7 linked regions of the Cricetulus griseus genome follow. The protein of the gene in region 1 interacts with the protein of each later gene in a biochemical or structural test. Links are inferred from orthologs where the notes say so. Each region holds a gene or a part of one and is shown in the gene's direction. Other genes may lie near its edges. The genes, in order: Erbb3, Rnf41, Tns3, Abl1, Shc1, Rasa1 and Hck.

Region 1 (3,125 bases):
TGGCTAGAATCTTCAAAGAGACAGAGCTGAGGAAGCTTAAAGTGCTGGGCTCTGGTGTCTTTGGAACTGTCCACAAGGTGAATGACTCACGGAAGCCTGGAGAAGCGGGGAGAAGACGTCAGAAAAATGGGAGAAGGATTTTGGCAAAAGATTAACATGAAAAGAATGATTTTTTTTTTATGTCTACCCCAAACTTTTCAGGGGGTTTGGATCCCTGAGGGAGAATCCATCAAGATTCCAGTCTGCATTAAAGTCATCGAGGACAAGAGTGGGCGGCAGAGTTTTCAATCTGTGACTGATGTAAGTGAAGGAAGGCAAGCCCGAATGCCACTAAAAGAAAGGCAGTGCTGGATCCAGGCATGTAGACATACGATCTTGTGTTGGCAGGCAGTGTGTGAGATCCATGTTAGGCATGCTGTACTTGTATGTTAGAGGGATCTCTGGATTGGGTGGACTGGGTGTGCTTTTGTGGAGTGAACCTGGACCTGTTTCTTCCTGGCTAATACCTCCTACGTTTTGCAGCATATGCTGGCCATTGGTAGCCTAGACCATGCCCACATTGTGCGTCTCCTGGGACTATGCCCAGGATCGGCTCTGCAGCTTGTCACTCAGTACTTGCCTCTGGGCTCCCTCCTTGATTATGTGAGGCAGCACCGTGGAGCACTGGGGCCACAGCTGCTGCTCAACTGGGGAGTACAAATTGCCAAGGTGAGAGGAGACTGTGATAGCCGCCGCTGACTGGGGAAAGTCAGGGCCTGCCTGAGGTCTGAGGACACGGGGTTTGGGCAGCTTCTGTTGCTCAGTGACTGGCCGGCTCTTCCTCTAGGGTATGTATTACCTCGAGGAACACAGCATGGTGCACAGGGACCTCGCTCTCCGCAATGTGCTGCTCAAGTCACCCAGTCAGGTGCAGGTGGCAGATTTCGGTGTGGCTGACCTTTTGCCACCAGAAGACAAGCAGTTACTACACAGCGAGGCCAAGGTAAGGTGACAAGGGTGGGGATGTCCAGTAGGAGGAGCCTGGAGTACGGAGTAGTGGGGGCTCTTTCTGAGATATGTAGGTGAGCCGTGGTCAGTCTGAGGAGAGGGAACTGAGAATGGCAGAAAATGTTAAGTTCAGAAAACAAAGGATGGTAGAGAACTTGTGGTTTAAAGACAGTAAGGACATTTGTGAAAATTAACTGATAATACCTTTATCTTTCATCTTCAGACTCCAATTAAGTGGATGGCCCTTGAATGTATCCACTTTGGGAAATACACACACCAGAGTGATGTCTGGAGTTACGGTGCGCATACCTGGCTGCCCCCATGTCATCAGCCCAAGTCCCCCACTATCTTTTGTGTCTCCTCTTCTTAGGAACTCTCCACCTAACTAACTTTTGATCCTTGTATTAAAGCAGTCTACCTCCCCTTTACTATTTTTAAATAGCCTGTATCTATTTTTCATACTTTACTAGTTCACTTCTTTCTACATCAGGTGTTACAGTTTGGGAGTTGATGACTTTCGGGGCAGAGCCCTATGCGGGGCTGAGACTGGCTGAGATACCAGACCTGCTAGAGAAGGGAGAGCGGTTAGCACAGCCCCAGATCTGCACCATTGATGTCTACATGGTCATGGTCAAGTGTGAGTTGTTTGCTGACCCCTGCTTTTCTAGCTGACTGCCTTCCTTTCTCCTCCATGGCTGGCTCTCTTCTCTTCTGCACTAACCCCTCCATCTCATCCACAGGTTGGATGATTGATGAGAATATCCGCCCGACCTTTAAAGAACTAGCCAATGAGTTCACCAGGATGGCCCGTGACCCACCTCGGTATCTGGTCATAAAGGTGAGGAGGGGTTTGAGGGTGCCAAGTCATTTAGAGAGAAGACCTGGTTGGAACTAGAATCCACCTGATGGCTATCTGCTCCTGTAGAGGGAGAGTGGGCCTGGAATGCCTCCTGGGGCAGAACCCTCTGCCCTGACAAACAAAGAGCTGGAGGAAGTAGAGCTGGAGCCTGAGCTGGACCTGGACCTGGATCTGGAGGCCGAGGAGGACAACCTGGCGACCACACTGGGCTCTGCCCTCAGCTTACCGCTGGGAACGCTCACCCGGCCTCGTGGGGTAGGACACCTTCTTAGTGCAGAGGATTCTGCTCCATGAACCCTCCATGCTAAAAGAGTTCTTCCTTCATTTTAACCCTTTTCTTTCCTTTCTCATCCTAGAGCCAGAGTCTTTTAAGCCCCTCCTCTGGGTACATGCCCATGAACCAGAGTAATCTCGGGCAGGCTTGTCTGGTAAGTCGGCAGCTGGAGGCTGGGGTGGCAGAGAGTCTTAAGGGCTTGGAAGTGTTGATAGAGATATGGAGGGAAGACGCTTCAAATCTTGAAGGTTTAATCAACACCCTGCAATAGAGAAGGCCTTGGACAACCACGCCTCCTTCTAAATCAGTTTAACTCTCCTTGTATTGTTGCCTGTTATTTTCCTCCTTAGGATTCTGCAGTTCTGGGGGGTAGCGAACAGTGCCCCCGTCCCATCTCTCTGCATCCAATTCCACGGGGACGTCTGGCCTCAGAGTCATCAGAGGGCCATGTGACAGGCTCTGAGGCTGAATTCCAAGAGAAAGTGTCGGTGTGTAGAAGCCGGAGCCGGAGCCGGAGCCCTCGGCCACGTGGAGACAGCGCCTACCATTCACAGCGACACAGCCTGCTTACCCCTGTCACCCCGCTCTCTCCACCAGGATTAGAGGAAGAGGATGTCAATGGCTATGTCATGCCAGATACACACCTCAAAGGTACCTGGCTTTTTCTCCAAGCTCCCCTAGATTCTTTCATATTTTCTGATGTCTCCTAGTCATTTGTTTTGTAACTTACCCCATTCCTTGTTATTTCTCTGAAGTTCTATACATACTTGTAATTTTTCTCAACCGCAGGTACATCCTCCTCCCGGGAAGGTACTCTTTCTTCTTCGGTAGGTCTCAGCTCTGTGCTGGGTACTGAAGAAGAAGATGAGGACGAGGAGTATGAATACATGAACCGGAAGAGAAGGAGCAGCCCACCTCGGCCCCCTAGGCCTGGTTCCCTTGAAGAGCTGGGTTACGAGTACATGGATGTGGCCTCAGACCTCAGTGCTTCTCTGGGCAGCACGC
Region 2 (4,232 bases), about 140 kb from region 1:
ACGGGGAGGTTTTAGGAATTAAAGGAGCCTCGACGAAGATGAGTTCCGCGCGGGAGAAGATGGACCGACCGCCAGGGGGCGCCTCAGTTCGGCTCAGAAAAAGGCGCTCCAGGCTCGCAAGATTGTGGGTTTTTTTTTTTTTTTTTTTTTCCTTTTCAAGTAGTGGCACAATGGAAAAAGGTCCAAGGGCTTAGGAATGCAGCGGGCAGAAGTTTGAATGCCAGCCCCTCTCTTCGCTTCTTTGCTCGGCTATTCTTAAACATATAAATTCCGTTTTATACATGAAAATGTAGAGTTAGGTAAAAAGCGATGCCTAGGATATGGCATTAACTTAGACATAGGGGCCTTCATCTTTAATACACTGAACAGTTCTGCCCAGGCCTCTGGATCAAGTGGCATTTATGCTTTAGAAAAGACATTAGGCAGATTCAGCCTCCTTTGGAAGAAATGGAATCCGGGACATAAAAAGCAAGTCTTTTCGCAGGGCATGTCCGGTTCCTATTTTCTTTTCTCACTGGATCTTAAAACACCCAGCACCTTTAGTGCCCTCGGGGTACTTGTCAGTCCTCAAAGGCAACTACCTCTTACAAACAAACGAGTTACAAATGCACTAATGTGAATTTTTTAAAAAGACAACATAACAAATACTGTTTGGCACCAGGTTAGCCTAAGGGGTAAATGTAATCTCGTTTCTTGCCTTGCTCGATCCCTTACCTATATAGCAGAGCGCTTTAAGCTCCACGGTGACTTCCAAGTCCAGGTTCTCTCCCACCCACACCCCCCAATCGCGCAGCTGCAACCTCAGGAAACCAAACCCTTCACAGTGTTTCAGGGCACGATTGAGTTTCTCAAGAGCCATCGAATGTGGCCGGGAGGCGGGCGACCCTTACAACACCCTGGGTCAGAGCTTTGCGGTGTGACCCTGCCTCCCTGCCTCCCTCCCTCCCCCCCTCCCCACCCCGCAGCCTTCCGAGTTAACCGCTGTGTCCCTTCCCATGACACGAGGCCGGGAGGCTCCGCGATGCTGACCACAGCAGCTCTGGAAACTGAGGGGCAGGGAGGACAGCAGCAGGTTACGCTGCAGCAGCAGCAGCAGCAGCAGTAGCAGACCGGTTGTCCCGAGGCCATCTCGCCCCGACGTTGCATCAGCTGCAGCGCCCGCCCGAGACCTGCGTTATCGCACACGAAGTGACATGGCCGGGCAGTACATCCACGGTCGCCCCAGATCGTTACACCTGGAGAGCATAGAGTCCTCCCTCCCAAATGGCTATCAAATCCCGCCGGGGGTCCGTTTCTAACAACTTCCGGGCAAGAGCGGAGGTCTAGCGAACCGGGGCCGCTCGCTTGGAGCGTCCGGTCGTCGCCGCCGAGTTAAACAAAGGGGCGGGGTTTGGTGACGGACTTCCGCCCCGTTGCGTAGCAGCGGTGGGCGTGGCAAAAGGGTCAGTCCGAGACGAGCAGGAGTGGTTGGAACCTTCTTCCCCATCCTTTCCTTCCCCTTCCCCTTCCCCTACGGGGAGAGGCTGAGAGCCGGCACCCAGGCCACTCCGCGGCCGCCGTGGCCTCAGCTGCAGCCCGGCCCCGCGTCCGGAGAACCCACTCAGTGTCCAGGGCGGTGCGTAACGCTCCTGAACGAGCTTCTCACCCGGGAGGGGAGGGGAGCGAAGCGGAGCGGAGCGGAGGGGGCGAGGTCCCGGTGGGTAGGCGCCTGGGTCGGAGGTGCTGGGGGTCGAGAGGAAGGGTGGAGGGGGGGAGGAGGATGGAGGAAGGGAGCTCTGCTGGGAGGAGTCGGGAGGCGAGCTGGGGGCTCAGGAGCTTGGGAAGGTCCTCTGGAGCAGGGAAGCCTTGGGAAGTGCGGGAGTGGCCTTGGGCTGGCCCGAGGACCGGGGAGGAGCAGACGGCTCGGCCTAGGGGACAACGTGGAGTTTAAATGGCAATGATTGACGGGCCTGGAGGCGAGGAGGGGAACGTTCTGGGGGCCAGCCTTGGCAGGAGCCACGGAACCCAAACCTCCGCCCTCCAAGCGCCATAGCTTGGCTTCTTTCCCATGCCTTGTCTTTGGCAGCCTTGTCTTTCTCTTTTATTCCTTCGCCGCTCCTCTCCCCTCCCACCCCTCCGTGGAGGACTCTTACATTCCTGACATCCTTGCCCCTGGATGATTTGCAGCCCCGCTCCCTCGCACGCACGATCCATCCACTCGCTTTATACGAAGCCCACCCCAGCCCAAGGAGGCAGAACAGTTGGTGGGTAGAGAGTAGGAACAGGAGAGAGCCGAAAGCGAGCAGGATTGAGCATGTTTGGGATCGGCACACACTTTTCCTTTAAAAAACTAGCTTCATCTCAACTGGTAGCAATTGTGGCGGTTACCAAGGCCACTGTTCTCAGAGACTGACCTGTGAGAATCTTGGCAGGTACTTCTTATACAATAGTGTTAGCTAATTACAGTGTTGCTGGCTGCTAGTATTTCCCTAAGAAGGAATGGGATTGGATAGTGGTAAGGGAAGGAGAGGGGTACATTAATGTTGATACTCTGTCACCAGTAGACCCTGTGACAGGGCCTGCTTCCCAGTAGTTGAAAAGGGGGAACAAGCAATTCCAAACATTTCCTCTGGTCCTCATTGTGAATTTATTGTGCCATTCTGTTGCTACAACTAATAGCAGTCTGGAATCTCCTTTCCTATTTATTTTGTCGTTTGATTTGCTGTATGTAAGATAGGGCAAATGTCATCGTCTGTTTGACAGTTGGAGAAACTGGTTGCAATGCCTTATTTGAAGTTGGTGGGTGGCAGAGCTAGGACTGGAATAACCCAAGACACCTCTCTCTCTCTCCTGCTTCTTTGCTTGGTCAATAACCCTTTATCTATTTTTTTAGATTAACCCCTATTAATTTGCCCATCACGGGAAGCTTTTTGATTTCTGGGTCTGGGTCTTGACCCTAGGAGACCGAGCATTGCCTATAGAACCTCTTCCTGGAAGCATTTTTTGAGATACAGGTGTGTGCCAGCTTGTTGGGAAATGGGGAGGAGAAGAACATCAACTCCACCACTCCTCTTCTGGACTGTGAAGAAGGGAAAGTGCCAGGTTTTACATCATCTCTCCTTCTGAGAGGACATGTGAACATGTAGTTGATGATGAGCACGGTGAACTAATGAACAAAGTACCATATTCTGGAGAATTTGTATTCTTTGTAAAAATCACCATTATTTTATCCCAACATAGCCCTTGAAAAAAAAAAATATATATATATGATACAGGAGTTTGATTAGTAGGAGTTTGGTTAACATTCCTGTACCTCTTTGAATCAAATTCTCAGGGCACTGGAAACTTGGACTTGGTTCTATCTCGGTAGGCATGCATCTAGTCAGCCCAGTTTAACTGCTATATCTGAACAAGTTGCCCACCCTGGAGCAACATCTCTACTTTTCCCTCCTTACCAATGATTTGAGGAAGGGTCTCATCCTGTAGTCCCTGCTGACCTTGAATTTGCAGTGATCCTCCTGTCTCAGCCTCCCAGGTGTTGGGATTACAGACTCCACCATGCCTGACCTTGTTTTTTTGTATCACCCGTTGCCTCAGGCCCCACTCCTCTTCCCTCCTTTTTCAAAGCCCGATTTCCTTCCAGAGTATTTCTCATTTTGCACCTATAGCAGCATTCTTGGGTGTCTATGTGTAAAGTAATGTTTTCCACGTGGAAGGCAGTACCTGGATTTTTTTGTTTTGTTTTGTTTTTTTTGTTTTTCAAGAAAGGGTTTCTCTGTGTAGCCCTGGCTCTCCTGGAACTCTGTAGACGAGGCTGGTCTTGAACTCACAGAGATCCGCCTGCCTCTGTCTCCCGAGTGCTGGGATTAAAGGCGTGCGCTACCACTGTCCAGCTTATACAGTGTTTTTTGTTTGTTTTGGTTTTTCGAGACAGGGTTTCTCTGGAGCTTATCCTGACACTCCATATGGAGACCAGGCTGGCCTCAAACTCACAGAGATCCACCTGCCTCTGCCTCCCGAGTGCTGGGATTAAAGGCATGCGCCACCAGTGTCCGGCCCGAACTTTTTAATTTTTTTGAGACAGGGTCTCATATAGGCCAGGCTAGCCTTGAATTCCTGATCCTCCTTCCTTCAATCCCAGGTGCTAGTATTGCAGGTGTCCATCAGCTTTCCCACTGTTTGCCTGATTTTAAGTATTATTTCAGACTGGGTCTGAACACAATTTAGAAATAGACTTCTTGATTTATTGAGAC
Region 3 (4,231 bases), on another chromosome or scaffold:
GGAGGTAGGGAGGTAGGCAGTGGCTATGGTCTCCATCTTTCCAACACCGAGGCAGAAAGGAGGCTTCTGTCTATCCTAGGAATAGATTGCAGTGGCCCAGATGAGACCAGGGTAGCTGGCTGCTCAGGAAAACCTCTGGGCCAGTGTCATGCCCCACAGAACAGCTGGAGTCCCCTAACCTACCCCTTCTTCATCCAAATGTTTAGGGACACTTGTCTCTTGAGAAAGCTGACATCCTCAAACTACTGGTTTCTAACCCATCGACACCCCTGCCCCACCCCACCCCACACATATCAGATACTAAAGTAGTATTCGAGCAAACCCTCCTTTTAAAGCACAAACTTTCACATGTCTGTACTAAGGTGCTGGTGTCTCTGCCAACAGGCCCTGGCATCTGTATTCAGACTCCTTCTGTGGTGTGGTAGTGGCTTGTTTTTGTCCTTCCTGTAACTCAGGCTGTGCTTGGAACTATGCCTGATGCCGCAGTAATGTCTCAGAACATCAAGAAGTTAAAGGAGCATGAGAAGGACATGGCCAGCCTTCCTCCTTGGGAGTAGCCTCTTTGAAAGCCCTAGTCCCAAGAAGGCTGGTGAGACAAGTCACACAGCTGTGTGTCCTCAGGACAGAAGAGCTCAATCTAGAAGTGTCCTGAACATTGCTGCTGAGAACTGCCAAGCTGAGTGTTACCAGTTTGGGTCTGCCTTGGGTCCAGGACAACAGCAGGAGGATGGACCATGGCTTGACCATGGGGCATGACACTGGCCCAGAGGTTTTCCTGAGCAGCCAGCTACCCTGGTCTCATCTGGGCCACTGCAATCTATTCCTAGGATAGACAGAAGCCTAGGATAGACATGCCAAGACTGACCTAGCAGAGAAAGACACTGCTTAAGGACAAGAGCCTGCAACAGACTTCTTCATAAATAGCCCCCAGTGAGGAGGTCAAACCCCGATTCCCAACTTTCCACTGTTGCGACATCACCCAAGTGTTCAGGAGAGACCACACATTGCTTTTCCGGTTGTGTAAATATAGACGTGCCTGCAGCAACGACCAGAGATCCTGAGGGCATGAATCATAAGATGAGGGACAACAGGCCTGTCCCATAGGGGGATGCTGCTCTCCCCAGCTGCTCCCCCATTCACCGGCTGCCCCATTGCCCCACTCCTCCAAACCCACACTCTGTTCCTGTTGCTTTGAGGACTCCCTGGAGCAGCCCTTCTCACCAAGAATAGAGCTGCTTCCTGGCCAATCTTTGAAGGAAACTTTGTTCCACCTGAGATATATCCAATGCTCCCTGCATGTGGGTGTCCTAAGGGTGACATTCTTTTGGTCACCAGTGAGGCATCCAGATTAAGATTTCACATGTCCACATTTGATCTCATCTCCCGCCCCTGCCCCCGCCCCCCAGGCTAGCTATCTATAGATAATCAGGAAAGTTAAGGGCTTACCTCAAGGCACTTTGAACTTCTTCAGGTCGTTGGTGACCTCACTCCAGGATCACATGATCAACAATAGACTTCTTGGGTAGGTCACTTGAAGGCATGCTTGGAGCAGACTCGTTGAGGGCCTTCAGCTTTCGGACTGCAGAGACAAATGTTCTTCAAAATAACCAAGTGTTGTGGTCACATGAAGGTATGTACCTTGTATCACGGCACAGGTGGATAGGCCATGGGACATGGCTGAAAATAAGGGGTACCAGGTAGGATCGGAGTACCTAGAGAGACTAAAGCACTATGTAGTATGTCTTGTTTCACACTTGATTGACTAGGCTGTCAGCAGCATACACTCAGTGGCTTCACGGCTGAAACTGATCCTCTCACTGGAAGTTCAGAGTCAATGTGTTGGTGGGATTGGCTTCTCCTGCAGCATCTTTCTCTGGCTGCAGCTGCCAGTGTCCTCTCGTGGCCATCTTGTGTGTATGTTCTCATCTTCTCTCATTTGTAGAATATCAGTGAGGTATCATTAGGGCTCAGCTTACATCACTCCTACTTGTGTCAAATGCCTGGTGTACAAAAACTTAAGGGAAGAAAGATGTATTCTTCCCCCAGTCTGAGATTTGAGTCCATTATGGCTGGGGCGGGGCAGGGCGAGGTGGGGTGGGGTGGGGTGCGGTGGAATGGGGTGGTAGTAGTGTGGAATGGTAGGTGATGTGGGGAGGTTGCAAGGGGTGGGATGGCAGAATGGGGTGGTGGTAGCAGTGGTAGAGTGGGGTGTGGTGGAACAGGGTGGTGGAGTGGGGTGGGGTGGAATGGTGATCGTGGGGGTGGGAGTGGGGGCAGAGTGAAGTGTGGTAGAGCAAGGTGGGGGATGGTGGAGAGTAGGGAGTGAGATGGTGGTAGAGGGGTGGGGTAGTAGTGGTGGAGGAGTTAGGTGGTGGTGATTGAGCAACTGGCATCACACCAACCCAGAGATAGAACAGGAAGAGACCAAGGATGGGGATGGATGGAGACACAGGCACACCCATACACATGCATACTCCCGTGAGAGCGCGCACGCACACACACACACACACACACACACACACACACGCACACGCACACGCACACGCACACGCACACGCACACACACTTTATTAAGTGTGGTTGGCTTCCTCTAGCCTGGCCCCACCTACCTCAGTTCTCTAACCTCTCCGAAGTCTATTCAGATGTTGCAGTCATTAGGGTAACTGTCATGGCCTAATTATCTCTGCAAATGCCCTCACAGACACACTATTAATATCATAGGTGTTTATCAGTCTGGTCAAATTGACAGTCAAGTGAATCACCGTGGACTGGGGATGTAGCTTGGTTGGTAGAGAGCTCGCCTAGCATGCGCAAATCCCTCAGTTGAATTGGCAGTATCACAAGTACAGGGCATGGTATATGCACGCCTCTAATCCCAGGACTCTGGAGGTAGAATTAGAAGTTAAAGGTCACCTTTGATTTCATAGGGTTTGAAGGCAGCCTGAGATCCATGTTGACCGTATCTCAAGAAAAAAGAATCACGGCTGGGTGTGGTAGCTCACGCCTTTAATCCCAGCCCTCAAGAAGCCGAGGCAGGTAGATGTCTGTGAGTTGGAGGCCAGCCTAGTTTACAGAGGACAAAGTAAAAAGGCCAGTTACATACTTCCTTTCTTTTTTTAAAAAAAGATTTATTTATTATGTATACAGTGTCTTGTCTGCATGTATGCCTGCAGGGTGGAAGAGGGCACCAGATCTCATTACAGATGGTTGTGAACCTCCATGTGGTTGCTGGGAATTGAACTCAGGACCTCTGGGAAGACCAACCAGTGCTCTTAACCCCTGAGCCCTCTAGCCCCCAGTTACATACTTTCAACATGCAATGCCATGGAATAAACAGCTCCATTCTGAGAGGGTGGACTAGGAGAACATTAAACTCCACAGTTCCATGTTCGATGTCTGGGCACATGGTATCAGGATGCCAGCAGGGAGCTCTAGCAGCCCCATTCTATGCCCCAGCCTGCTATTTGCATCTGCAAGGCTGCTCCCTTAGGCTAGCTGTGTTCCTCTCTGCCATGAACTGTCCTGCTGCTATGACAGTCAGATCTCTGAAATGGTAGGCAGAAACGAATACTTCTTCCCTTGAAGTTATGTGAGGTATTTTGTCACAATGATGAGAAGTCTAACCAGAAGCACTCTAATGACCTATTTACCCTTAATGACCTCTTTAAAGATCTTAACTACCAGCACTTGGTAGCCTGAGGCAGGAAGACCATGAATGAGAGGCTAGCCAGGTCTAAATAGCAAGTTCCAGGACAGCCTGAGCTGTAAGAGCCTGTCCCAAACAATAAACAAACTAAAAGGATCTTAACTCAAATTCTGACACATGGGATGTACTAAGTGAGAACTGGAATCTTTGAGCACAAGCCAGATGACTGTACTGTACTACTTAGTATTTTTTTTTTCTGAATGAAATACTGTGTATACATTTTAAAAAGTTAATAAGCATGTGACAGGCAAATGAAACCTGGGGAGAAATCCTAGCCAGCCTGACCCTGTATTAATCAGAGACGCAATTTACCCACAGGCATTGGCCACAGACAGTTGTGGTAAATCACTTGCTGGTGCCTGGGACTTGCTATTCTCAGTCAAAGCACTAAAAGCCCCACCATCAGACAGAAATCAAGATAAACCACCCCTAACTGATCAGCCCTGGACCAGTCTTCTCAAGTCTTTTGTTTCCTCTGACTCCCTCAAAACTCCAAAGCCCCCTTCACTTTCCAAATCTTGACCG
Region 4 (3,500 bases), on another chromosome or scaffold:
CAGTTGAGCTTTAGGCTAACTGTTCCCTGTGCCTGGCATCAAGAGAAAGCCCTTTACATACTATCCATTTTCACACACAGCTGCCCATGGCAGGCCCTGTTACTATCTTCATTTTATGAGTGAGATAGCTGAGTTCCAAGGTAATTAACATGCTCCAGGCCATGGGACAGGACCTGTCCACATTGCCACCCTGTCTGCTTGTGTTGCTGCTATTGCAGCCCGACTAGTATTTGATGGGAGACTGTTGCTCCCCAGCCAGGCATTTGAAAGTTCTAGAGACCACACTTGGTTTTCTTTGTGTCAGTGTTACATCATCTGCCAACAGTAAAGAAGCTGCAGAGTTGGTGGGGGAGGAGGAGGGCTCAGCGAGGAGCTTGTACAGATGGCTCTTTTCCTTTTTTCAGAGACCTTGCTGCTCGAAACTGCCTGGTTGGGGAAAACCATTTGGTGAAGGTGGCTGATTTTGGCCTAAGCAGGTTGATGACAGGGGACACCTATACGGCCCATGCTGGAGCCAAATTCCCCATCAAGTGGACCGCGCCCGAGAGCCTGGCCTACAACAAGTTCTCTATCAAGTCAGACGTCTGGGGTAAGGGCCAGGTCCTGGGCAGTCCTTGCTAGTGGGAGCCCTCCTCCTCTGCTTCTCTACCGCCATCTCTCCTTCATTGCTACACCTTCTTGTTTGTTTCTGGCTTATTTTAAAACCCTCTTTCTGTTTTCTTTCAAAAATGAAGCAAAAGTGACCTTTAGGGTAGCACCACATTCGTGTCTTCATTCCATGTTAGCTAGCTGTAACCCTGATGGTGCAGCTATGACCCGGCTGACACCCAGAGTCACTCTCTCTGCAGGAGAGCTGTTCACTTTGGTTTGGGCTGCAGTCAGCACTTCATGTGGAAGTACCACTCGGTATTTATTTTATTTTTAAAGTTTTTTGTTGTTGTTTTTTGTTTTGTTTTGCTTTGCTTTGCTTTGAGACAGGGTCTTTTTACATAATTTCAACTGTCCTAGAACTCATTTTGTAGACCAAGCTGGCCTCAAACTCAGGGATCCACCTGCCTCTGCCTCCCAATTGCTGGGATTAAAGACGTGTGCCACAGTGTCTGACTTAAAGAACTTTTCATGCTGAGGATGGCCAGAAAAGATGGAGTTGAGTAGTGAGCCCTTTGCCCCACCCACGCCCTTTTTTTTTTTTTTTTTTTTTTTTTTGAGACAGGGTTTCTCTGTGGCTTTGGAGAGGCTGTCCTGGAACTCACTCTGTAGACCAGGCTGGTCTCGAACTCACAGTGATCCACCTGCCTCTGTCTCCTGAGTGCTGGGATTACAGGCGTGCACCACCACCTGGCCACCTCTTGTTATCTTAAAGCAAGTTCCAGACATTACATTATTTTACATGTAAGCACTTCAGTATTTGCATCTTACAGATGACTCCTCTAATACAGCACAGTGCTACACCCAGTCTTGACTGACTTCTGAATATCATCAGATATCCAGTGCTCACATTTCCAGTTAAACCATAAACCCAGGTCTGTGTGTATAGTTCCATGTGAGAGCCAGCTCGGCTCACTCACTGCAATAGTTGATGTGTCCTGTGTGACTCTATTTCCCTGCTACTGCTTTCTTTATTGATAAACTCTGTCACTTTTCCTTTAGATGTTTCCAGATTCTGGACTTTGCTTGTTGTGTTCCTGTGCTGTCATCTGTTCAGTGCCTGTGGCTTCAATCCTCTTAGAAAATTCAAAATCAGATCTGGATACCTGATGACATTTGGGTTGACTTTTCTTTCACTTAATACATTAGAGGAAGTGGCACGCCCTTAGATCGGTTTATCCATAATGCTTGACTTCTTACCCTCTAGTGTGGCAGTTCTCAACTGCTTTGGCAAACCTCTATCTCCAAAAATATTTACATTATGATTAATAGCAGCAGTAAAATTAGTCATGAAGTATCAATAAAATAATTTTATGCTTGGGGGTCACCACAACATGAGGAGCTATTAAAAGGGTCACAGCATGGCTGGAGAGATGGCTCAGAGGTTAAGAGCACTGACTGCTCATCCAGAGGTCCTGAGTTCAATTCCTAGCAACCACATCACATGGTGGCTCACAGCCATCCGTTATGAGATCTGGTGCCCTCTCCTGGCCTGCAGGGATACAGCAGTAGGAAGGTTGAGAACCACTGCTGTGTGGGATGTGGTGTAGCAGCTCTTAATGACCAGAGCCAGAACTGGTGGTTCACTGGGGGCTGTCATGTGATCATTCTCTAACTCCTTCATTCCATATTTAGTTAGCCACAGAGTGTAAAAGACAAAACCTGGTATGTGCTTGGCTACTCAGTGGTAGAGCTGGTGCAGAAATAGGTTCAAGTGAGCTGCCTGTCATGGCTCCCACTTTCCTGTAGTGGTGGCAGTTGGATTTGCTAGTCTTTTGTGGTGTTGACACACTGATATGTTTCAGTGTACTGTAGTTCTTTTTCTTAACAGTGGAGCATCTTGTCTTTGGCCAGTGGGAACTCCTCCCTCGCCCTTTTGTCAGTATACCTTGTAGTCTTTCATAACATCCATGCTGTCCAGAATGGCAAGATAGCCCAGGCCTCTTCCTTGTCCCAGATCTGAGTCACTTGTTTTTCTGAGGATCCCCAGTGCTGCTGGAGGGAAGAAAGACTTTCAGAGTTCACAAGATTTTTTACAAACTGTGGGGATAATCTTACCCACCTAGAAACAGGCATTCGACTACATAGTCACAGAGCTATGAGCGGAACATGGTATCTGACATCTAGCCCTTATGCCACTTACCTGAGAGACCCTGTAACCCAGAGGTCACCTTTCCCCTTCTCTCCTTTCACATATTTTAGTTTAGTATGAGTAAACAGTTTTGCTCTGTCCTACCTTTCCTGGGCTGTTATCATGGGGAGCCTGGTAAATGTCACTGATCAGACTGCTTTGCAGCTCTCTGTTGCACAGTGTGGAAAAGCCTTCTCCATCATTTTTATGTGCATGTTGTGTGCATTTATGTATGTGAGTACATGCATGTATGTGTGTGTGCGTGTGCGTGTGTGCGTGTGTGTGTGTGTGTGTGTGTGTGTGTGTGTGTGTGTGTGTGTGTACTTTGTTACATGTAAATGTCAGAGGACAACTTTGTGGAGTTACCTCTCTCCTTTCCCCTTTGTTGATTATGGGATGGAAAGGTGTTGGGAGAGATCCTAGATACCTGTACTGCTGACCACAGGTACGTAGAAGGGTAGGATAAAGAGCGAGGAGAGGCGCTTGCTCTCTTTCGGGGTTTAAGCCAGGTCTCAGAGTGCGTCTGAGACTGGGCTGCTAATCTGGTTATCGGCTACACATGTGAATTGTTTGCATCGTTATCATTTATAATGTACTACCAATAACCTTATCTTGTGTACGGTTATGTTCCTTATCGAAAAGGTCTTTAGGCTTGTGAGGCAAACACTTTACCCACTGTGAGTCATCTCTCTGGCCAACACCTCACATACCCTGATGTCTT
Region 5 (4,250 bases), about 64 Mb from region 1:
ATTTCCTGCTATTTCCTACCCTTCCAGCTTCCTCCCTGCTGGGCTGAGGTACAAAACACGGCTCTCCCCCAGCTGCCACTACCTAGCTTTGGTCCGGTAGATAATCTCCCATCTCTTTAAGCAGATTTAAAGGCTCATGCTTCCTTTTCTTCCAAATGTGCATACTCTTGGTCATTCCTTGCCTCTGGATATGAACGCTCCTAGAGAAAGCCATCTCTCAAGATGAAGAATCATTGTGTGTGTTTGGAAGTGTATGGCTGTGGCAGAATTTTTCCTCCTCTAAGAGCTGAGGTCTTACTTAGTAGACGGGATGACAGAGTTTCTTTTCAGGAAGAAGTTCGATATTCAGTAACAGCTCTCCTGGGATGGGGACTAAGGGCAGGTGAAAAATCGGAAGAATGATATTTAACCCGTTTTAAGTTCCGGTATTGTTAATCACAATCATACAGTTTTTAATTCTCCAAACTAAACCTAAAGGTAGTTTGGAGGTGAGCCTGTAAAGAAACTACCTTTTACTTCTTGTATTTGCCTCTCCCCCCCCCCCTTTTTCTTTTTTTAAAGGAAATAAGTGATAGTTTATTCTGGAGTAATGCTGATTGGTCACTTTCTTTAACTTCCTGATGGCCTTTAGCAGAGCTGTGGCAGGAAGCTGTGGGCAAAGGAATATGGGCTTGGTGTTATTATGCACTTATGGCCAGATCCCAACCTCTGGTATCCCTTTCTTCTTCCTGTCTTTATTAACACTGATTTGTTTATGGCCCTATTATCCCTTTGTGGCTTGTAGGCACCAGTTCTGTTTGTTTCATTTTCAGACCTCCAAGGCCAACTCCTCTACTAGTGTGAGGGACACTGTTGGGTGGACCTTACAGCCTGTAAGGAGAGAAATATGTCTGTAGGTCTAAAGGTAGCCTGATTGTCTCTACATCCTCTGGAAAGGGGTCCAGGAAGTCCATTGGTCCTTGGTAGGTAACAAGCCTAAGGGACAGGCTTGCTCTAGCTCTTGCCTAGTAGCTCCCAGACCACCGCCCAAATTGGCCTTATTCCTCCTGTTTCAGCTTTGCTTCCCTCTTGGCCTCGATCTACACCCACTGGGACAACTTTCTCTTCCTGGTTCCTTGCTCTTGTCCACAGCTGTTGTGGCTGAGGATGCTAATGGCCCAGGTTCCCTGGGGCTGCCACCTCACTTACTGTATGGTGGGGGGTGGGGATGGTCTAGGCTGTAAGAGAAATACTAAACTCTAGATCACCCCCCCCCCTTTCCTCCCTCAGCAGCTTCTGTTTCCTCCTTTATCCCTCCTAACCTTCCGGGCTTCCTGCTCTCTTTGGCTAGCCCATGTCAGTTTGGATTAATCCAGAGTTCCTCTTAACTCCTTCCTTTCCTTCTTTCCTCTTTTTCTTATTCTTCCATCTTTCTCTCCTACCTGGCACCTTCATCCTCCCCAGACAGACCCTAGTTGTTTGTATTGGGTAAGGGAGAGTGGCCTGGCTAGCACACATTGTGTGAGGAGGTGTCTCTGCCCCTCTGAGCCTGTGAGTCAGCATTGTCCTTGGGATTGGTCTCTCCCCTTGGTTCCCCGCCCCTGGGGAGGAGCCAGTCAGCTCTGGGTCCAGCCTGTACTCCTCAGCCATAAGAGGCTTCCTCGCAGGGCTGGGCAAGGATGTGGCCTGAAACTGTCTTGGTCTGACGTGGGAGAGCAGAGGCCACTTGTCCTTCGCTTCCCTAGGTCCTCTGTTATCACCAGGCTGCAGAGGTCAGACCAGGCTAAGGGCCTGGGGATGCCCCCTGCCTGGCCCCCTTGCCTGAATTTGGCAGGGGGGCCAGGCCGGGCCAGGCAGCAGCCCCCCTTCTCACCCCAGCCATGGATCTTCTACCCCCCAAGCCGAAGTACAACCCACTTCGAAATGAGTCTCTGTCATCGCTGGAGGAGGGGGCTTCAGGGTCTACCCCCACAGAAGAGCTGCCTTCCCCGTCAGCCTCATCCCTGGGACCCATTCTGCCTCCTCTGCCGGGGGATGATAGTCCGACTACTCTGTGTTCCTTCTTTCCCCGGATGAGCAACCTGAAGCTGGCCAATCCTGCTGGGGGGCGCCTGGGGCCTAAGGGAGAGCCAGGAAAGGCTGCTGAAGATGGGGAAGGGAATGCAGGGGCAGCCCTTCGGGACTCAGGCCTCTTGCCCCTCCTCCAGGACATGAACAAGCTGAGTGGAGGCGGCGGGCGCAGGACTCGGGTAGAAGGGGGCCAGCTGGGGGGCGAGGAGTGGACCAGACACGGGAGCTTTGTCAATAAGCCCACACGAGGCTGGCTGCATCCCAACGACAAAGTCATGGGACCTGGGGTTTCCTACTTGGTTCGGGTGAGTGTACATCCTCCTTTCTGCCCCCTCCCATTCCCCATCCAGTTCCTCTGCTCACTCCAGATTTGCTGGGACTTCCTGCTCTTCCCCCAACATCTGTGGCATTCCCCTAGTTCTTAACCCTGCCTGCCACATCCCTTCTCCAGTTCTATGCCTTCTGTTCTAGCCTGGGAGTCTTCTGCCTAGGTCCCCTTTCCTTTGATCCCTACCCCCAGCTTACACAATGGTCAAGCACATCAGAGGCTTTTAGTAAGTGTTGAATGAAAAATGACTTCTGGGTTCTTCCCTCTAGACTCCTCCCTTTTCCATAGCTGTCACTCCATCCCACCCAGTGCCTACAACTCCTCTCACAATCTCTCCACAGTGCATGAAGGTCCTCTTTGGTGGCCCTTCTTCACTATGGGGTGGTGGCCCCAGGAAGTAGGAAGGCTACTTTACCTTTACTTCCCTTAGGGACTACATAGGGCACAGTCCTAGAACCTTCTGCAAAGGGTGGGGTATTGCGGGGAGGGGGCAGCTGATCCATCCTTGCCTCCTTCCCCCACAGTACATGGGTTGTGTGGAGGTCCTGCAGTCAATGCGAGCCCTTGACTTCAATACCCGGACTCAGGTCACCAGGTTAGTGGAGAGGCAGGTGTATTGTTGGAGTCTTGTATGGAGGAGGAGGAAAGGTGGGCATTTGGTGGTGGTGCTGATGGTGACTTCTCATGGGGTGGCTAAGAGACCTGAAAGTTACACCAGTGTGTCTGACTGCAAAGAGCCAGCTCTGGTCTGGAGCACCACCTTACCCACGCAGCCTGGGAGACTGTGGGACGATGGATTACAAAAGGCTGCTTTTGGGAAGGGAATGGCAAATTTGGTAACTGGGAAGAGGTGGGGCTATAACCATTGAGGCCCTAACCCAATCAGCCAGGAAGCAGCCCCTCAGTGTCATCAAATATTAAAGGCCCTTAATTCAATCCACCACGACAAAGAGCCTGGAGTGCTCTGAGAATCTGGCCTGCTCTTCCCCTCCCCCAGCTTTGTGGCAGCCCCAGGCAGTGGGAGGCCAGGAGTAGGTCTGAGTACCCCTGTTTCTCTAGGGAGGCCATCAGTTTGGTGTGTGAAGCCGTGCCTGGTGCCAAAGGAGCCACAAGGAGGAGAAAGGTATGTGTGGTTGTGGTGGGCAGGGGGAAGGCAACCGCAGGCACAAGGGGAGGAGACAGAAGTGTCTCCTGGTGTTGCCAGTGCTCAGGTTCTGAGACTTGGGGCCTTTCCTAGCCCTGTAGCCGCCCACTCAGCTCTATCCTGGGGAGGAGTAACCTGAAGTTTGCTGGAATGCCAATCACTCTCACTGTGTCTACCAGCAGCCTTAACCTCATGGCAGCCGACTGCAAACAGGTGGGTGGGGCTGCTGAAAGGGACGGGGGTAGTTATGGGATGATGGGGTGGGGGGATCTGGAGGCCAAAAACCTGGAGTCCTCAGGAGCAACTGGAGAGTAGAGAAGGAAGAAATTAGAGGGCTTGGGTATAGTGACAAATTTAATCCCAGTACTCCAGAGGCAGAGGCAGGTGTTTGAGTTCCAACTATACAGTGAGACCCTGCATCCCTGTTACACCCCCCCACTCCCCCCACCCCCGCCAAATAGAACAAAATTAGAAGAGTGTAGGATTAGAAGCCGAGAGAAAGACTGGGCGCCAAGGTCATAGCTGGGGTGAGGACACGCGGGATCTTGACCACTCCCTTCCTTCTCCATCCCCTGCCCACATGAGAGAATGAGAGTGGGTGCCAAGGTCATAGCTGGGGTGAGGGTACACGGGACCCTGAGGCTGCTGACCTTGATTGTTCCCTTCCTTCTCCATCCCCTGCCCGCATCAGATCATTGCCAACCATCACATGCAGTCCATCTCGTTCGC
Region 6 (4,217 bases), on another chromosome or scaffold:
GTGTGTATGAACTTATAGACTTATATACACATTCACATAAGGCGAACAAAATCTTTTCCTTGGCCATATTAAAGGTGACATTGATCTGAGTTTGGTAATTTTGTAAAGTTCAGATTTGGATATGTCTTGCAGACTCTTGAATACAAACTAGCACAAAACCACACTGACCTAGGCACTTTTCCTGTTCACACTTTATTGTCTGGCGTGCAAACGTGTGAGAGAGGCATTCGGAGCAGGGAACTTTAGTAGTAGAAATCTGGCTTTGCCTGTGTTTCCACCTTCACAGTTTTCCATGGCTCCTTTCATCAGTTTTTTTCTTGAGTCCCAGCTTCTAGGTTTGAATTATTTTACCGTGTGACAGTAGCACGGCGACTAACATTGTGCAACCAAAAGGAATAAACTGGGACTACTGCTTTGACCTTTGTTGCCGACTGCACCGGTGGTTGAGGACATTTTTCTTCAAGTTAGAAAGAAGGGAATGGACTTCCTGACATCAACCTTTCCTTCCCACCACCTCCTCGTCCCGCCGGTCCCTCGGGCGTGGACACGAGGGACTTTCCTTGTCGCCCCGTTAGCAAACAAAGCCGGGAGAGGCAGGCAGGCCCGCACAGAACCTTTGGCGTGGAGGGAGCGCGCCACGCGTCTCTCGCCGCTCAGCGAGAGAGCCTGCCACGCCCCCAGGCGCGCGCCCGCCCGCCCGCCCGCCGCTCCGCCGCCGCTCCGCCGCCGCTTCCTGCTGCCCGGGCTGCTTTTCCCTGGCCTCTCTCCAGACGCGCTCCCGGAAGGCGCCTGCGCAGAAGCCTCGGGCTCCTGCTCCCCTCCCTTCCTCCGCGGCCCGCCCTCCTTTCTCCCTCTCTCTCGGGTTTCGCTGCCGAGAGCGGACGGCAGGCAGCCGTCGAGTCGGGTTGTGCGCGCCCGCCCCCTTCCTCCGCCCCTCCCAGCGCCCGGGTCTCCAGCCGGCGGAGATGAGGCTGCGGCGGCCGCGGCTCCGGCAGCCCCGGCGGTGGCTGCGGTGGGGGCGGCCGGAACCCGGGCCTTGAGGCGCGGCGGCGGTGGCGGAGGAGGCAGCGCTGCCCTGGCCGCTGCAGCGGGCTTCCCTTCCTCTTTAGCGTAGCCAGGAAGTTTGGCGCCCTGTGCATGTGTGCGCGTGAGTGTGGGTGTGCGCGGCCAGCTCGGGTAGCGTTTCTGCAGGCACTGGGCTTTTTTGCCCGCGTCGCTTCCCGTAAGCCAGCAGCCGCCGAGCTTGGGCTGTGGCCGGAGGAGGGGGCGCGGCGGCGGGCGCTCTCCTTTTGTTGTTGTTTCCTCTGCCTGGAGAGCTGAAGGGGGACGCGCCTGGGTGGGGCGGCTCGCAGGCCGGGCCTGCTGGCCCCCGGGGCTCCCGGGCGGCCGGGGTAGCTAGAGGAGAGCGGGCTTCAACATGATGGCGGCCGAGGCCGGCAGTGAGGAAGGCGGCCCGGCCACCGCGGGGGCCGCAGGCGGTGCGGCCGCGGGCTCCAGCGCCTACCCGGCAGCGTGCCGGGTGAAGTTACCCGCGGCCCTGCCGGTGGCAGCCGCCCCCTGCCCCGGGCTGGCAGACGCCGACCTGGCTGCGGCCCTGGGTGGCGGAGCCGCGTTGGGGTCCGGGTTCCTGGCGACAGGGCCAGTGGCGGGTGTCCTGGGGGGCGCCGCGCTGACCAGCGGTGCTGCTGCTGCTGCTGCTGGCGTGGCGGGTGCTGCCGCCGCCGGACCTGCTGGGGATGTTCCTTTCGCCAAGGGGACTTTGTCGTTGTCTGCCGAGACCCTCGGGCCGGGTGGCGGATTCCCTCCTCTGCCGCCGCCTCCTCAGCTGCCCCCTTTGGGCTCCGGCCTGGGCACGGTGGATGAAGGTGACTCTCTGGATGGACCTGAATACGAGGAGGAAGAGGTGGCCATACCGCTGACCGCACCTCCCACTAACCAGTAAGTCCAAAATGCTGTTGAGGGATTGTGGAAGCTGGTTCCATGAAAGAAGTGGGCAAGAAAGCAAAACAGACCATGCTCCTGCGGCGGTAATTTGTTTGAAAAGTTTTGAAGTTTCACGTTCCTTATGTAGGGATTTAATGTGACCAGACATCTTCCCTACGGCACTGTCCCTGGCGTCCTCGTGTGTGTATTGCTTTTCTGGCAAGACAAAGTTTTTCAGATGGGAAGCATGGGAAACTGTATCCAGTGAGGACCGGATATGGTTCTGCCCCTTCCTAATTGAGATAGTGTCCGGGATTCAGCAGAACTTGGCACTGTAAAGGCAGCCACTGTCTATGGTACCTCCCATGCCCCTGCTGAATCTAGATTTACAGTGAGAACCATGAGTACAGGTGTTTACATGGGTATTACATTAATGTAAGTTGGAAATTCATTGGTCAGAATGTTTTCTTTTTGCTGCAGTTGCAAATCCCTACTTAATGTTTACTGGGAGAGTTGTGATTCAGAAAAGACTAGATCACTTTAGAGAAGCAGCCGAGAATGGAAGGAAGTTCTGTGAATTACAGGTGTGATTAAGGGCTCACACACTGAACACTAACTTGTTCCTTAATGTTGTTAGTATTCATGTAATACTTCTATACTGAGACAGTACAAAACATTAAAAAATAAAATATTGGTCGTGGCTGATGCTGTATTGTTTGGAAATTAATTTTGGTAGTTTATTGTGAATTAATCAGGGAAAATGGCTTTCCCTTTTAATTTAGAGTTGTCTCTTTAATGTGTTCTTTTCCTAAGTGAAATAGGTATGTCTTTGTAAATGTAGGTTGATTTTGATGAGGGAAAATTGTTGAGGTGGGAAGTGGTAATAATAGACGAAGCATGTTTTATAGAGCCTTCGAATCAGTCGTAATTGACCTTTAGAATTTCAACACCATTGGTAATTGTAGGAAAAAAGATTTGGTTCATATATTGACACTTTCTGGACACTTGAGAAGTTTTCTTTGGGAGGGTCAGCTTCTTAAGAGGCTTAAGAAATGACCTAAAGACAATCAGGGAAGCATTTTGTAATAGTAATCCATTCTCATTTAAGCTACATTTACTGCTCTTTTGAATGCATGTTGTGATTTAGAAATGCATTGGTCAGAAAGCTTTGTGTTTGTTGACATTTTCAGATTTCAGTTTAGGTCTGTTTTGATACTTCCCAGCTATGGTGAAAGGGAGTTATGTTCCTTTTATGTCATTCATCACAAAGTGTAACCTCTCTTTTCTTATTTTAATCTAATTTATGTCTGTGTATTGCAGTCTATCTTAGGAATATTCTGTGTTAAAAAAATTCCGGCATTGTGTATATACCTTTTTTGCCAAAATCAGTTATGCTTTTATTATAATAAAATGCAGTATAATGAGAGAATGTGGTCTTACGCCATTTTTGTAATTGAATTTGATTTAGGCATATTTACAATCTTGTTTTCTTAAAGGCATTTGAAACTTTAGTTATTTTTATTTTATGAGTGTTTGTCTGCATGTGTGTATGTGCATTGTGACAGTGTCCAGTGACAGAGGCCAGAAGAGGGCATCAGATTTCCTGGAACTGGAGTTACAGGTGGTTGAGAGCTGTTCTGTGGGTGATGGGAACCAAACACTGCTCCTCTGAAAGATCAGCAAGTGCTTTTAACTGCTGAGCCATCTCTCCATCCCAGTGTATTATTATTAAATTATTTCCAGCAGACTCATTTATTTTATTTTATTCTTTAAGAGAGGCTGTCATTCTAGTGTAGGATGGCTTGTAACTCACCGTATAACCCAAGCCACCCTTGATCGGTGATGATCCAGTTCAGCCTCCCAAGTGCTGGGATAGTAGGCTTGAGCCATCATATTCCCTTTGTAGGTTATAATATGCTTTAAAAGAGGAATTTAAACTTGACAGCAAAATGGAATGGAAAAATACAGATTATTTTCACACTAAATTTTTAAGATTAAGCATGATTATTTGGAGAAAATTTTATTTGTGAGAAATCTATTAGAAGTAATTTTATTATTTTTAAATATATTTAAAAATGAACATAAAATTTGACTTAGAGTAGTTCATATATATATATATATATATGTTTTTTTTTTTTTTTTTTTTGACAGGGTTTCTCTGTGTAACAGCTCTGGCTGTCCTGGAATTAGCTCTGTAGACCAGGCTGGAACAGAACTCACAGAGATCTGCCTGCCTCTACCTCCCCAGTGCTGGGATTAAAGGCATGTGTGCCACCACCACGGCCACCAGCACC
Region 7 (3,500 bases), on another chromosome or scaffold:
TTTGAGGCCAGCCTGGTCTACATAGGGAGTTCCAGGGCAGTCAGACCTACATAAGGAGACCTTGTCTCAGAGAGAAAACATTGATGAATGTTAGCTATCTTTTCCCCTTGTTGATACTGAGGAAACAGAGAATAGAATGAAAGTCATCTAGCAGGGCTGAGACATGCTGACATCTTTTCAAGACTCTCTCCCCATTTTGGTACATGAACTGCTCCTTATCCCAGTGAGGGTGAAAACTGCTTCAGCTGCTACAAAAGGAACATTTCCATCAGTATCCAACATAGCAGAAAAAAGAGAGAGGAGAGAGAGGGGGGAGGAAGAGAGAAAGAAAGAAAGCTGTTTCCCTCCAACCACCCCAAAAAGTAAAAAAAAAAAAAAAAAAAAAAAAAAAAAAAAAAAAAAAAAAAAAAAAAAAAAAAAAAAGATGCTACCTGAAGTCAGGTGCTTGGACCCTGACCTCTTGGTGGTCTCTGCTCAGTAAGGCCTGGGCATCATTTGAGCAGGATAGATAGGTCCATCCTGAGGCTCATACTGTCCTTATTCGTTTCTGGCAGGTGGTTCTTCAAGGGTATCAGCCGGAAGGATGCAGAGCGCCACCTCCTGGCTCCCGGCAATGTGCTAGGCTCCTTCATGATCAGGGACAGTGAGACCACCAAAGGTGATACCAGCCCTTCCTGCCTCCTGTGCCCCTTGGTGCCACCTCCAACCCCAAGGGACATTCTCTGAGTAGGGCTGAGCAGCTCAGTCAAGTGGCCATGCGGCCAGGTTTTCTCCCTTCCTTTGCTGCTCTGAGTGATGGGAAGGCTAAGGGTCTTTGCTGAGTGACTCTCCTCAGTTTGGGTAAATGCAGGCTTAGGCCAACGGAAGTGGTTTAAGGGTCTTTGCTCTCTTCAGTTTTGGTAAATGCAGGCTTAGGCCAACGGAAGTGGTTTGAGCCCTGGCAACAAACATCCTGCTGCCATTTGGTCCCCACTAAATAGCTCCTGGTTCAATTTTTTTAAATAGCCACCCTACCGTGTCCTGTCCACAAGTCCCATTCCTCCTTGGCGAGGAAACAGTGTACAGTAAGGTACAGCTAGACCCAAAACAACCTCTGAGACTCACTTAAAATTCCCTCTTGGTGGGGGAAGTGAGATGGCTTAGCCGTAGATGCCTGGTAAAAGGAAAGAACCAACTCCTGTCCTCTGACTTCCACAAGCATGGCACAGCATGCAAGCACCCTACCCCACAAAGACTTAAGTGGGGAGCCCTTTGGGGGCTTGTGGATAGGAAGAAGCCATGGATGGGTAGACATCAGGAGTCTTGTCCTGAAATTGTGAGCTGAAAGGATGGCAACTTGAGTGAGTGACTAGAGTTTAAAACAAAATCACCTCAAACCACAGAGAGTGGTTCCAACTAGCACTGCCCCGTGAGTTTCTGCAGGCAGCAGCGCCGCAGGCTCTCCATGAGTTCAGACTCTACAGGTGCAGCGCAGTGAGCCTTTGGTTGTCATTTGCTCTCAAAGTCACTTGATTTGAACAGGTCACGCCAGTTATATAAAGCATGACCTGGTTGGTACTGTGAGGCACATAGTTTGAGGGACATTGAAGGCATCTGTGTGTCTGAGACCAGTTCTTCCATCTGTGTGAGGTCAGCCAACATTTAGGCTGCAGAGAGGCACAGTCCCTTACCTCCAGCTATGCCTAGAATAGTAGAGATTGGGCTGTCCAGTTCTGCAGAGAAGCAGAACAATCAGCGGGTGCTGTGGAAGACCTGTGGACAGAAGGATGGGCTGGGCTAGTTCCACAGCCCTCGGTTGGGGGAATCAGACAGATTTAGAATGAGGCCCCGAGCGCTGGCTACTCCCCAAATCCTGTACACCCTGCCTAGCACCAGCTACTCTGCCCCATGCCCCCACCCCACCCCACCCCCACCTTGACTGGGACAGGGTGGCTAAGAAGGGGCCCTGGAGCCAACTGGCTAGGTTTGGAACCCAACTGTGCCACTTACCAGCTATGTGACACCAGGTAAGTTATGTCACCACCTCAGTGTCCTCGCCTATGTAAAATGACGCTGATAATAGTATAAAACCTCTACCTCATGAGACTATTCACAATGATGAGCAATATAACTCATGTAATTTTAATTTATTAAAAATGCATACTATTCCCACTCATTTATCATGGAATCTTAATTTATTGAAATGCGGACTATTCCTATTCACATGCTGTTCCAGCATGCTTAGAACAGTGCTTGGCATGTACAGTCAGCTGTCACTCGGCAATCTAAACTTCCCCCAGATCCGATGACATTGTGTCATTAAAAAAGAAAAAAAAAGAAGAAAGAAAAGAAATGCAGAGAGGCTAATTAGGCCAGCTCGTACATTGCAAACTGTGGCCATGGACTGGAAGACCTGTGTGTCTCTGGTCTATGCGACGATCTGTGTCATAGCTGCAAGCTTGGTGGTTTAGAGCAACGTATCTACATTACCTCACAGTTCTGGAAGGCAAGAGTCTGAGCTGGCTGGGCTCTGGTCGAGGTGTCTGTGGGACTGGCTCCTTCTGGGGGCTTACAGGGTGGGGTGGCCCCATTTCTCTTTCCGACCTTTGGGGCTTTGAGAGGCCACCAGCATGCTTGGCTCATGGCTTTTCCTCTCTGAGTAGCCACCTCCCTCTGATAAACACCCCTCTGAATTCACTGGGATGCCCATGGGTTCTATGTCATGTAAACTCACATATTCCCATGTGCAGGGATTCACATGAATATCATGGACCATTATACAGCTGACCACAGTGCATTTTTCACATTTCTGTAATCAGACCAGATTTTCTTTTCTTTCCCTCTCTCTCTCTCTCTCTCTCTCTCTCTCTCACTCTCTCTCTCTCTCCCTCTCTCTCTCCCTCTCTCTCCTTTCTCTTCTCTTTACCAAATTAGTATGGCATCTTGGCTTTTAAATAGATGACAGATGAATAAATTATTGATAAATGGATGGGTGGATGGATGGATGGATGGATGACTATAGATCAAAAATAACGAAGTGATAGTGACAACCAGCCTACTGGCTGTCTCAAGTCAATTACAAGTATTACTTCTGTTGGTCACTGGGCAATGTGATGAGATGGAATGGCATGACGACTCCTATTTCACATGTGAGGAAGCTGAGGTATGCCATGTAGTCATTTGTCCAAGAGCTCACAGCTGAGAATGGCAGAACTGGGCTGGGTAACCAGGCAGCCTGATGCCTCAGCCCACTCAATGACATGAGCATCTGCCCAGGTGCTCACGTGATGCCAGCAGAGGCCTCACAGGGAATCATACTGACATCAGAAGGTCAGGCCTCTGAGGTGCCATTCTGAGGGGCTTCTCTTGGACCAATGCAGGGAGCTACTCGTTGTCTGTTCGAGACTACGACCCCCAGCACGGGGACACCGTGAAGCATTATAAGATCCGGACACTGGACAGTGGAGGCTTCTACATCTCTCCGAGGAGTACCTTCAACAGCCTGCAGGAACTTGTGGCCC

The links.
Region 2: the proteins of Erbb3 (region 1) and Rnf41 form a complex in vitro, tested with the Homo sapiens proteins (2 studies listed by BioGRID). The link is inferred for Cricetulus griseus from reciprocal best matches to the Homo sapiens genes ERBB3 and RNF41.
Region 3: the proteins of Erbb3 (region 1) and Tns3 form a complex in vitro, tested with the Homo sapiens proteins (2 studies listed by BioGRID and IntAct, with this or other methods). The link is inferred for Cricetulus griseus from reciprocal best matches to the Homo sapiens genes ERBB3 and TNS3.
Region 4: the proteins of Erbb3 (region 1) and Abl1 form a complex in vitro, tested with the Homo sapiens proteins (2 studies listed by BioGRID and IntAct, with this or other methods). The link is inferred for Cricetulus griseus from reciprocal best matches to the Homo sapiens genes ERBB3 and ABL1.
Region 5: the proteins of Erbb3 (region 1) and Shc1 form a complex in vitro, tested with the Homo sapiens proteins (2 studies listed by BioGRID and IntAct, with this or other methods). The link is inferred for Cricetulus griseus from reciprocal best matches to the Homo sapiens genes ERBB3 and SHC1.
Region 6: the proteins of Erbb3 (region 1) and Rasa1 form a complex in vitro, tested with the Homo sapiens proteins (2 studies listed by BioGRID and IntAct, with this or other methods). The link is inferred for Cricetulus griseus from reciprocal best matches to the Homo sapiens genes ERBB3 and RASA1.
Region 7: the proteins of Erbb3 (region 1) and Hck form a complex in vitro, tested with the Homo sapiens proteins (2 studies listed by BioGRID and IntAct, with this or other methods). The link is inferred for Cricetulus griseus from reciprocal best matches to the Homo sapiens genes ERBB3 and HCK.

Annotation. Positions count from the first base shown.
Region 1 is NW_023276806.1:129,334,173-129,337,297, forward strand, and holds part of Erbb3 (receptor tyrosine-protein kinase erbB-3), read left to right. Parts: coding exon 1-77; intron 78-201; coding exon 202-300; intron 301-522; coding exon 523-708; intron 709-826; coding exon 827-982; intron 983-1,210; coding exon 1,211-1,286; intron 1,287-1,477; coding exon 1,478-1,624; intron 1,625-1,727; coding exon 1,728-1,825; intron 1,826-1,912; coding exon 1,913-2,101; intron 2,102-2,202; coding exon 2,203-2,274; intron 2,275-2,470; coding exon 2,471-2,771; intron 2,772-2,909; coding exon 2,910-3,125. UniProt on the Homo sapiens protein: Tyrosine-protein kinase that plays an essential role as cell surface receptor for neuregulins.
Region 2 is NW_023276806.1:129,471,360-129,475,591, reverse strand, and holds the start of Rnf41 (E3 ubiquitin-protein ligase NRDP1), read left to right. Parts: upstream 1-1,432; 5' UTR 1,433-1,696; intron 1,697-4,232. UniProt on the Homo sapiens protein: Acts as E3 ubiquitin-protein ligase and regulates the degradation of target proteins. Polyubiquitinates MYD88. Negatively regulates MYD88-dependent production of pro-inflammatory cytokines.
Region 3 is NW_023276807.1:96,332,004-96,336,234, forward strand, and holds the start of Tns3 (tensin-3), read left to right. Parts: upstream 1-1,431; 5' UTR 1,432-1,591; coding exon 1,592-1,630; intron 1,631-4,231. UniProt on the Homo sapiens protein: May act as a protein phosphatase and/or a lipid phosphatase. Involved in the dissociation of the integrin-tensin-actin complex. EGF activates TNS4 and down-regulates TNS3 which results in capping the tail of ITGB1.
Region 4 is NC_048599.1:143,524,716-143,528,215, forward strand, and holds part of Abl1 (tyrosine-protein kinase ABL1), read left to right. Parts: intron 1-404; coding exon 405-589; intron 590-3,500. UniProt on the Homo sapiens protein: Non-receptor tyrosine-protein kinase that plays a role in many key processes linked to cell growth and survival such as cytoskeleton remodeling in response to extracellular stimuli, cell motility and adhesion, receptor endocytosis, autophagy, DNA damage response and apoptosis.
Region 5 is NW_023276806.1:65,125,204-65,129,453, reverse strand, and holds the start of Shc1 (SHC-transforming protein 1), read left to right. Parts: upstream 1-1,450; 5' UTR 1,451-1,859; coding exon 1,860-2,354; intron 2,355-2,901; coding exon 2,902-2,972; intron 2,973-3,436; coding exon 3,437-3,500; intron 3,501-3,614; coding exon 3,615-3,734; intron 3,735-4,212; coding exon 4,213-4,250. UniProt on the Homo sapiens protein: Signaling adapter that couples activated growth factor receptors to signaling pathways. Participates in a signaling cascade initiated by activated KIT and KITLG/SCF.
Region 6 is NC_048595.1:305,271,605-305,275,821, reverse strand, and holds the start of Rasa1 (ras GTPase-activating protein 1), read left to right. Parts: upstream 1-1,417; coding exon 1,418-1,938; intron 1,939-4,217. UniProt on the Homo sapiens protein: Inhibitory regulator of the Ras-cyclic AMP pathway. Stimulates the GTPase of normal but not oncogenic Ras p21; this stimulation may be further increased in the presence of NCK1.
Region 7 is NC_048599.1:26,881,972-26,885,471, reverse strand, and holds part of Hck (tyrosine-protein kinase HCK), read left to right. Parts: intron 1-554; coding exon 555-658; intron 659-3,359; coding exon 3,360-3,500. UniProt on the Homo sapiens protein: Non-receptor tyrosine-protein kinase found in hematopoietic cells that transmits signals from cell surface receptors and plays an important role in the regulation of innate immune responses, including neutrophil, monocyte, macrophage and mast cell functions, phagocytosis, cell survival and proliferation, cell adhesion and migration.